Linked DNA regions of Mus musculus. The protein of the gene in region 1 interacts with the protein of each later gene in a pairwise test. Links are inferred from orthologs where the notes say so. Each region holds a gene or a part of one and is shown in the gene's direction. Other genes may lie near its edges. The genes, in order: Tmem79 and Tnmd.

What was found.
Region 2: the proteins of Tmem79 (region 1) and Tnmd interact in binary tests that used the Homo sapiens proteins (3 or more experiments, as listed by UniProt). The two-hybrid records come from large-scale screens. The link is inferred for Mus musculus from reciprocal best matches to the Homo sapiens genes TMEM79 and TNMD.

What each region holds. Positions count from the first base shown.
Region 1 is NC_000069.6:88,331,401-88,335,802, reverse strand, and holds the start of Tmem79 (transmembrane protein 79), read left to right. Parts: upstream 1-1,369; 5' UTR 1,370-1,421; intron 1,422-1,473; exon of another isoform or gene 1,474-1,695; intron 1,696-2,120; 5' UTR 2,121-2,163; coding exon 2,164-2,911; intron 2,912-3,149; coding exon 3,150-3,363; intron 3,364-4,402.
Region 2 is NC_000086.7:133,849,693-133,854,026, forward strand, and holds the start of Tnmd (tenomodulin), read left to right. Parts: upstream 1-1,315; 5' UTR 1,316-1,514; coding exon 1,515-1,562; intron 1,563-1,729; coding exon 1,730-1,861; intron 1,862-4,334. UniProt on the Homo sapiens protein: May be an angiogenesis inhibitor.

The sequences.
Region 1 (4,402 bases):
AGGGGAAAAGAAAAGAGACCGTAGAGTGCAAAGCTCGCCATGGGACAGCTAGGTGCTGGAGAAGTGACTACCCACATGGCAGCTCACAACCATCTGAAACTCCAGCTCCAGGGGGTCCGAAACCCTCATACAGACATGTTTAGAGGCAAAACGCCAAAGTGCATAAAATAATAAAACGAATGGGCCAGCTATCATTGAATCAGACATCGTTGCAGAAGAGGGGCAGCGAAAAGATTTTAAGATCCGGAGGTTGTGGAGATCGGCATGCACAAGGTCAAGTCAGCTGCCAAAATCCCAGCGCGCCTGAGGGGTGGCTCCTGAAGTTGCTTGTTTTTTAAAGGAATTCTTCCCGAGAGAGTTATTTATTTATATTTTGTGGGTGCATGCATACAACATACACGTGGCCAGAGAACTTGGGAGAGTCAGTTTTCTTTTAAAAGTGTGGTTCTCTGGGGAATCAGACTCAGGTAGTCAGGCTTGGTGAGCCATCTTGTCAGCCCTATTGTTTTCCTAACTATAAGGCGGATCTTTGGGGTTCTCTCTCTCTCTCTCTCTCCACATTATAATGGCAATGTATATACCACTATGCTCCTGGCTCCAGCCACCAAGTCTCCTTTCTATTCCTCAAACTGCCTCAAGTCTTTTTCCATCTGTTGGCTGCGCTGTTCCTCTACAGGGAACTTCCACTGGGTTTCAGCTTCAGTCACCCTAAAGAGGCTCTCACTACTGAAATTCTACTACTGATTTGGTGTGAACTTTAATGTTGGTTACCTGAACAGCTAGAAACCTTGTCACTTTGTTCTTTTCTGTACATGTGCCTAGACTAGCACTTTTTTTGTTTGTTGGAGTGTGTGTGTGTGTGTGTGTGTGTGTGTGTGTGTGAGAGAGAGAGAGAGAGAGAGAGAGAGAGTCTCTACATAACTCTGGCTGCTGGACCAGCCTGGCTTCAGACTCAGAAATCTGCCTGCCTCTGCCTCATGTGCTGGGATTAAAGGCTTGTACCACCACAGAAATAGCGCCTCATTAATAATAGATACCCAATAAACATTTACTGGATGAACAAACTTGCAGTGTCATCTTTTAGCCAATTTACTCTGAGCACCCTTTGATACACAAACCCACTTTTATACCCTGATGCTTCCCTGAGCTGGAAGCTCTTACAGATCCCAGAATACATTAAGTCCACACCTCTGTGCCCAGCTGCACCCTTACTTTCAAAAAGGATGACGTCCTCCTGTAGAGTCCTTCCAGTAGGCAGATTCTGTAGGGCAGGGCCTGCGCCTTTAATCTGGGCCCCACCCGCTCTGGTCAGACAGGTTTGGAGACACAGGCAAGGGAGGGAAACTGGGAAATACTTGCAGAGCCAGCCAGGAGCTAGGCAGCTCCTTTCCGGAGATCCTCCGCCTCTTTGCAGATGGAAAGTAAGAGGGTATCATGGATCCAAAGGGCAGGGGTAGGAGGGGCCCAAGAGGTGAACGAAGGGAGCCCAATCCAGAAGCTGTGAGCTGGAGGGTGGCAGGGGAGGAAACAAGAGGAAGGCTTGGGAACGGCCACACTAGAGCTGGGAGTCTGAGTGGAGCCCAGCCCAGCTGAATCGGGTGAGACTGGCAATGGGAGAGTTCAGAAAATGACCGACTCCTGGAATGGAGACTGAGGAACCGAGATCTGGTGTCGAGTTCCTGGAGGGACCTGCAGGTCAAAGGGCAGGTGGAAGGAAGGGGGAAGGGCCAATTTCTCTATCTATAGGGTGACCCTTGGCTGTAGAGAAACTCCGCCTAGTCCTAGACACCTCAGCCTCCCATTCCAAAGCCAGGGTGGCCAAAAATCCGGGAGTTTTAGTGGAGAGAGTAGAAGGCAGGTGTGGGTATAGACAGGCCACACCTGCCTCTGCTTGTGCCCCCTGACTCACCCTTGTCCTGCTGGATGACATTTATTTTGAAAGGGATCCTCCATTTCGCTCCTCTGCTGCCCGCCCGCCTCTCTGTTTCAACACCTTCCTCCCCACAGTGTTCTCCCTAGAGTCCCATGAGGCCAGCTTCTCTGGGGAGTTCTAGGTCTGAGAAACTGTCCTGGGGCCAGAAGACTAGGTATTCTCACAGAACTTCTCCCACTGCCTATAGGATGACATCGTTCTGTGGTAGCCCTCGGAACTGAAGCCTCACAATGACAGAACCGGAGACACTGGCCCTGCTGGACATGAAGGAACCCGAGACTCCAGAGAAGAGCCCACCGCAGGCTTTAGTCCTGCAGTCAGAGGAAGAAGGTGGGACTGAGTCCCCTGGAACTGAGTCGCTCAGAGTGGGGTCTTCAGTAGGGTCTCCTATAGTCAGAGAGGGGCCTGAGGATGGTCCAGACAGCACAATAAGTGAGGCTGCCACTTTACCCTGGGGAACTGACCCCCATCCTAGCGCCCCACTTCCGGATCCCCCGGGCTGGCGAGATATTGAACCAGAGCCCCTAGAGTCAGAGGCACCTACTAAGTCGGAGGAGCCATTCAAAGAGGATGCCAACCTGCTCCCCGAGAAGACAGTTAGGGCCTTCGTGCCCATTGATCTACAGTGCATCGAGCGGAAGCCACAGGAGGAGCGCATCCTGCATCGCGACGCTGGACCAGGCGAGCTCAGGAATTTCCTGCCAGCTCGACTCAGCCACCCTGAGCCCCCAGAGCGCAAGTGGGCTGAGGCCGTGGTGAGACCCCCTGGCCGGTCCTGCGGGGGCTGTGGAAGCTGTGGAGGTCGTGAGGCACTGAGAGCTGTCGCCTCGGTGGTGGCGGCCCTCATCTTCTTCCCCTGTCTGCTGTACGGAGCATACGCCTTCCTGCCTTTCGATGCCCCGAGGCTGCCCACCATGAGCTCCCGCTTGGTTTACACCCTTCGCTGTGGGGTCTTTGCCACCTTTCCCATCGTACTCGGTGAGTCTGGCCCCGTGGAGAAGGGCTACCTGGGAAGTGGATTACAGAGCTTTCGACTGGGTGGTTTCTCTTCATTCTGCTGGAACCACTCAGGGTATCCTGAACCTGCCACTCTCTGTCCTCTCCTCCAGGGAGCTCTTGTGTCCACTCTGTAGCCCCGACCCAAAGAGCTATCTTCTGGGAAACCCATCCCAACCTTCCTGCCTTTTCTGATCCCATGTGCTTACCCTCTTGATAGGGCTCCTTGTGTACGGGCTGAGCCTATTGTGCTTTTCTGCGCTTCGGCCCTTCGGCGAGCCGAGGCGGGAAGTGGAGATCCACCGGCAGTACGTGGCCCAGTCTGTGCAGCTCTTCATCCTCTACTTCTTTAACCTGGCTGTGCTTTCCACCTATCTGCCCCAGGACACCCTCAAGCTGCTCCCGCTGCTCACCGGTCTCTTTGCCATATCTCGGTGAGTCGGGCGGGGGCTGGGGTGGCCATGGCTGGGGTAGGCATGAGGAAGACATGATTCCAGATCCTCCAGGGAGCTGAAGGTCTGCAAACCTGAGGTCGGGGATGGGAGTCGGGGTGGGGTGTTTCTGGATGTGCACCAGGCAGTGATGAGCTTGCTGTCTGTTGAGCTACACTGGGTAGCAGTTGGTCTCAGAGCCATGGCAATGGGGAGCTTTTGACTTTTTTTTAGTATAGTGTTGAATCCATTGCCTTGCGTACTCTAACCTCATTTGTCATTTAGTGTGTTCACTGAAGCTACTTTACTCTGAAACTCTCCATCCAAATAGCTTTAAGAATTGGCCTCTAACTGGGCGTGGTGGTGCACGCCTTTAATCCCAGAATTTGGGAGACAGAGGCAGGCGGATTTCTTAGTTCGAGGCCAGCCTGGTCTACAGAGTGAGTTCCAGGACAGCCAGGGCTACACGGAGAAACCCTGTCTCGAAACAAACAATCAAAAAAAAAAAAAAAAAGAAAGAAAAGAAAGGAAAGAAGGAAGGGAGGGAGGGAGGGAGGGAGGGAGGGAGGGAGGGAGGGAGAGAGAGAGAGAGAGAGAGAGAGAGAGAGAGAGAGAGAGAGAGAAAGAAAGAGGGGCTGGTGAGATGGCTCAGTGGGTAAGAGCACCTGACTGCTCTTCCGAAGGTCCAGAGTTCAAATCCCAGCAACCACATGGTGTCTCACAACCATCCTAACGAGATCTGGTGCCCTCTTTTGGAGTGACTGAAGACAGCTACAGTGTAGTTACATATAATAAATAAATAAATCTTTAAAGAGAAAGAAAGAAAGAAAGAAAGAAAGAAAGAAAGAAAGAAAGAAAGAAAGAAAGAAAGAAAGAAAGAGAGAAAGAGAAGTGAATGGATTGCCCCTACCCTGACCTTCGTGAGGCCAGTTCCTGCACTTAAACAGCCCCCTCTAGTGGCTGAATGGCTCTGATACCATTGCTCTCTGGGTGCGAGTAGAGCCTTGGTTAAGAGCACTGGCCTCTCCATCCAGAGGCCAGT
Region 2 (4,334 bases), on another chromosome or scaffold:
CCCTCTTTGTCTTTTTCATTTGCCTGTCTGTTTTCTTAAGACAGGGAAGGGTGAGGTGGTGGGAAGGATCTGGGAGATGAGGAAGGAAAGTGAGATCTAAATATAGTCTATGAAAATAACTTTATTTTCAATAAAGGTAAAATTACTAAAAATCTAAATAAAATGTATGAAAGAAAGGAAGGAAGGAGAAAGAAGAAAGGGAGGAAGGAAGGGATGGAGGGAAGAAGGGAAGGGAGAGAGGGAAGGAGGGAGGGAGGGAGGGAGGGAGGGAGGGAGGGAGGGAGGGAGGGGAAAGGAAGGGAGGAGAAAGGAAGGAAGGAAGGAAGGAAGGAAGGAAGGAGGGAGGGAGGGAGGGAGGGAGGGAGGGAGGGAGGGAGGGAGGGAGGGAGGGAGGAAGGAAGGAAGGAAAGAAGCAAGCAGCCTAGATGACATCTTGATCATGTACTATAGCCTCCAGAAATGTAAGGACTGTTTTTTTTTTCAAGGAGTAGAGTTTTTATATGCAAGTCAATAATTCTGCAGTGCTTTGTTATGGTATCCCAAACACTAACTGTAATCACCAATCAAGATTAGGATTAGTAAAAAGAAAGCAAGCTGGAGGAAGGAAGTGTTAAAAAGGAAAGAGTTTGATAGGTAACATACTGAGTTTGCGATTTCTGAGTTACATCCGGGTACAGATGCTCGAGATGTTCAAATGGCTTTGAAAGTAAAGACAGAACTGGGTTACAGGCACAGAATCGAGTTGCATTGCTATATAAGTGATATATTAACTCCAGGACTGGATAATATCATTTAAGCATATATGCTAAAGTGACAAAAGCATGAAGAAATATAACAAATACCAGCATTGAGGGACCAACTAAAGGATAGAAAATTCATCATAGAGATGGAATGAAGAGAAAAAGCTGACAATTGCTCTTCATTTTATCCTGGTTTCAATTATAATTAGTCAAATATACTTTGGTCTTGGCATTCAGAATACTTTTACATAGGGAGACATGCTAACTTATTCATCTCTGACTCTCTAGCACTCAGGAAAGTACCTGATACTTAATATTCCTACAATAAATACTTGTTTAATTACATGGAAATCAAATTAGACCTTTGTCGTCGTCCCCCTTTTTTCTGCTCTGTTTGCTTACTTCTGGAGTGTGCAGCATGTATTGCCACTGGTATTTTTAAGTTCATAGTGAAAAATCATTTCAGTGTGTCCTAGGCTTGATCCCCTTCCAACCCAACCCCCAAGACAATAGTTTTCATTATAACCTTCTGTCTTTGCCATTCTGGATGGAATTCTGTGCACAGAAGTTATATACATATATGGGTATATCTATGTAACAAATCGTAGCACGGGAGCCCCCTGGGCTCCCTCCGGCTCTGGTATGACATATTTGAGCCATATAAATTCAGCTTCTCCTCCGGCATCTGGTAGCCGACTCACTTGCAACTCCACCTCAGCAGTAGTCCTCTCAGTCCTCTCAAAGCAGGGAAAGAGCACCGTGTGCTGGGAGACCATGGCAAAGAATCCTCCAGAGAACTGTGAGGGCTGTCACATTCTAAATGTAAGTTGATTCATATATTTTTTCCCTTTTGAGCAGGAGCACGATTTTGCAGATTTATCGTATTGCAAAGTGAACATTAGAAAGTGAAATTGAAGGAGACTTTGAATTATGGCTTGCTATTTTGAGGGTTATTGTACATTGTTTCATCCTTTCTGTTCTTTGCTTAGGCAGAAGCTCTGAAATCTAAGAAGATATGTAAATCACTGAAGATTTGTGGACTAGTGTTTGGTATCCTGGCCTTAACTCTAATTGTCCTGTTTTGGGGGAGCAAACACTTCTGGCCCGAGGTATCCAAGAAAGTAAGTAACAGAAACTTATCCGGTGTTTCTTTTCTGAATTTGATTGTATTTAATTAGGGATTAACATGGAAATTAATTTGAAAACTCTTTTCATCCTTTTTTATTCATTTGGGGGCATAGGAAAATAAAATCAAAGTTTTCCTTTCATTTGCTTATTTAGGTGAGGTTAAAATTGTATTCTACATTTTGGTTAGTAATGACAGTAGATAAATGTACCCATTCCTTTATGGTTGACTTTAAGGAGTTAAATCTCCTGGAAGCTTTTTTTCTTGCTAACAATTAACATTTGAATGAAAATGAGATGAGCTACAACCCATGAAGACAGGTTTCTGGCTTTGCCATATTCTTCTCTATTTGTAGGTCACTGTTGTTGCTGCAGCTCCTGCAGGTGTTATAGTTTTTTGTTGTTGTTGTTGTTGTTGTTGTTTTTTGTTTTTGTTTTTGTTTTTGTTTTTGCCATGAGATACTCATTTCTACTTGGTAGCAAATGTGGGAAAGAAAAGACACAGATCCTGGAAGGAAAATGAGACAAGAAGAAAATGGTTTGGCATGGACCATTAGGAGCCAAAGGAGCAATAGGAGCAAAGAGTTCATGTGGGAAAGGCAGACAAAGGGGGAGAGAAATAAAATAAGCTGGCTAGAAATCCAACTGAAAGCACAAAAAGTAAGGCATAGCCACCCTGGGATCAGCTACCTCTGCTGCAATACCTGTTTGCATTTAGTCTCAAAGGATACCTTATAAAGTTTAAGTGGGAGGGAGAGCAAACAAGCCTACTTATTTGTTTCCCTTTTATTTACATCATGTTCCAGAAAGGTTTTCAGGCATCACCTACTCCTATTAGCCCACCCCCACTGCCCTGCTGCTTTTGAACTGTTTACTGTGCAGCTGTCTTTCTAGGGAAGCCAACTATGTTAAGGCTAGCAAGGTGGGCAAAGAAACCACCATCAGAAAATGACTCAAGAGCCAACATTCATTCCAGCACAATGACTTCCTTACAGTACCACTTAGCTAATTCCTTAAGTGATATGTGACCCCAAAAGTTAAATCAGTGATTCTCTTGGAAATTGGATAAGGACCATAATTATATACAGGACCATAAATCATTTTTGTTGCTGAAAGTATAGCCTTCACTGGATGTGGTAGGTGGCTAATCTTCTTTACCATTCATAGATGCCTGTCTGAACAGGGAACACATAGTCTTTCTTACTTTCTTGTATTCATTGGCAGTATAAATGGCATTCTAACAGTATTAATGTGTTTTTAAATCTTACAATGGCATTTTCCTCAGTGCGATAATAAATGCCTAGGGAGTGACTCAGGAGATCTTGCCTTTATCTTGTAAGAATTCACACTCCCTAGCTGAGTTCATGATCTCCCCTGTCTTCCAATTATGCTACCTTTGTTTCCAATTCCAGTTCTCTTAAATATGATTTCCAAAAAGTAATTCTGTCATTCCTGAAACCAAACATAAAACTCAGGTCGTGCATGCATGAAAAAAGGTGGGGTGTGCTACTGATTAAAGTTTATTTAAAAAGAAAAAATCAAAGCCCTCTTAAAGTAATTCATCTTAGGATACATAATTTTCACCAAAAGGAGTGTAAATGAGGGACCAAAGTTATTATGAAGAAGTGCAGATAAAATACATTATGTATCTCTTAGGATAAGCTTTTCTACCACGAATAAGTACTACTTGTTTTCTATTCCAATGAGGAATTGCAATAAACTATTTTTCTTATCTAAGTCCTGGCCTTCACTACAAAATCAGGTTGGGATCACTTTAAATCAAGAGAGCAGGTAGCAGCATGGATTCTTTATTCACTTAACTAATACCTTCTAAGTCCCAGGCAAGGAACTTGGGAGGCTAGCCATGTACCTCCTAGTGACCAAGACTCTGACTAGACCTGCATCTGAGCAGTTACGAATCCAGAGAAAATAAAAGCAGTCCTATTAGTCTGGGAAGAATATTTCCAGAGGAAAAATGATCCAAGTGTCTTGTACAAATTTAAGACTCTCTGCTTAAGAGTATGAGCTGGAATGAAAGGCTGATTAGCAAAGTAAAATCCTTGGTCTTCTGGACTTGCCTTTAGCTGCCTGTGGGATTTGGGAGGCTTGTGTGGCTTTTGGTAGAGATAACTCTTGATGCTTGTCTGTTCAATGGAGGAGTGATACCTTCATTGTGCTGGAGCTGTCTCTGGGATCTCAGTGTTTGCTCTTGCAGCCCCCACAACACTCCTTCTTGTTTTCTCTTTCAACATCTGTTTATAATAAACAGTGTTTATTTAACAGCCTACATCTGGTGTTGACATTTCCATGCTACTAAGTCTTTCTCTTTCCTCCCACTTTCCTATGCACAAAAGCTCCAGACTCCTGATCTCAAAAAGGCATAAGCAGTATTAGACTCCTAGTATACCTCAATCATGCATGTGAGTTCACACATGCACTCGAGCGCTCGCGCACACACACACACACACA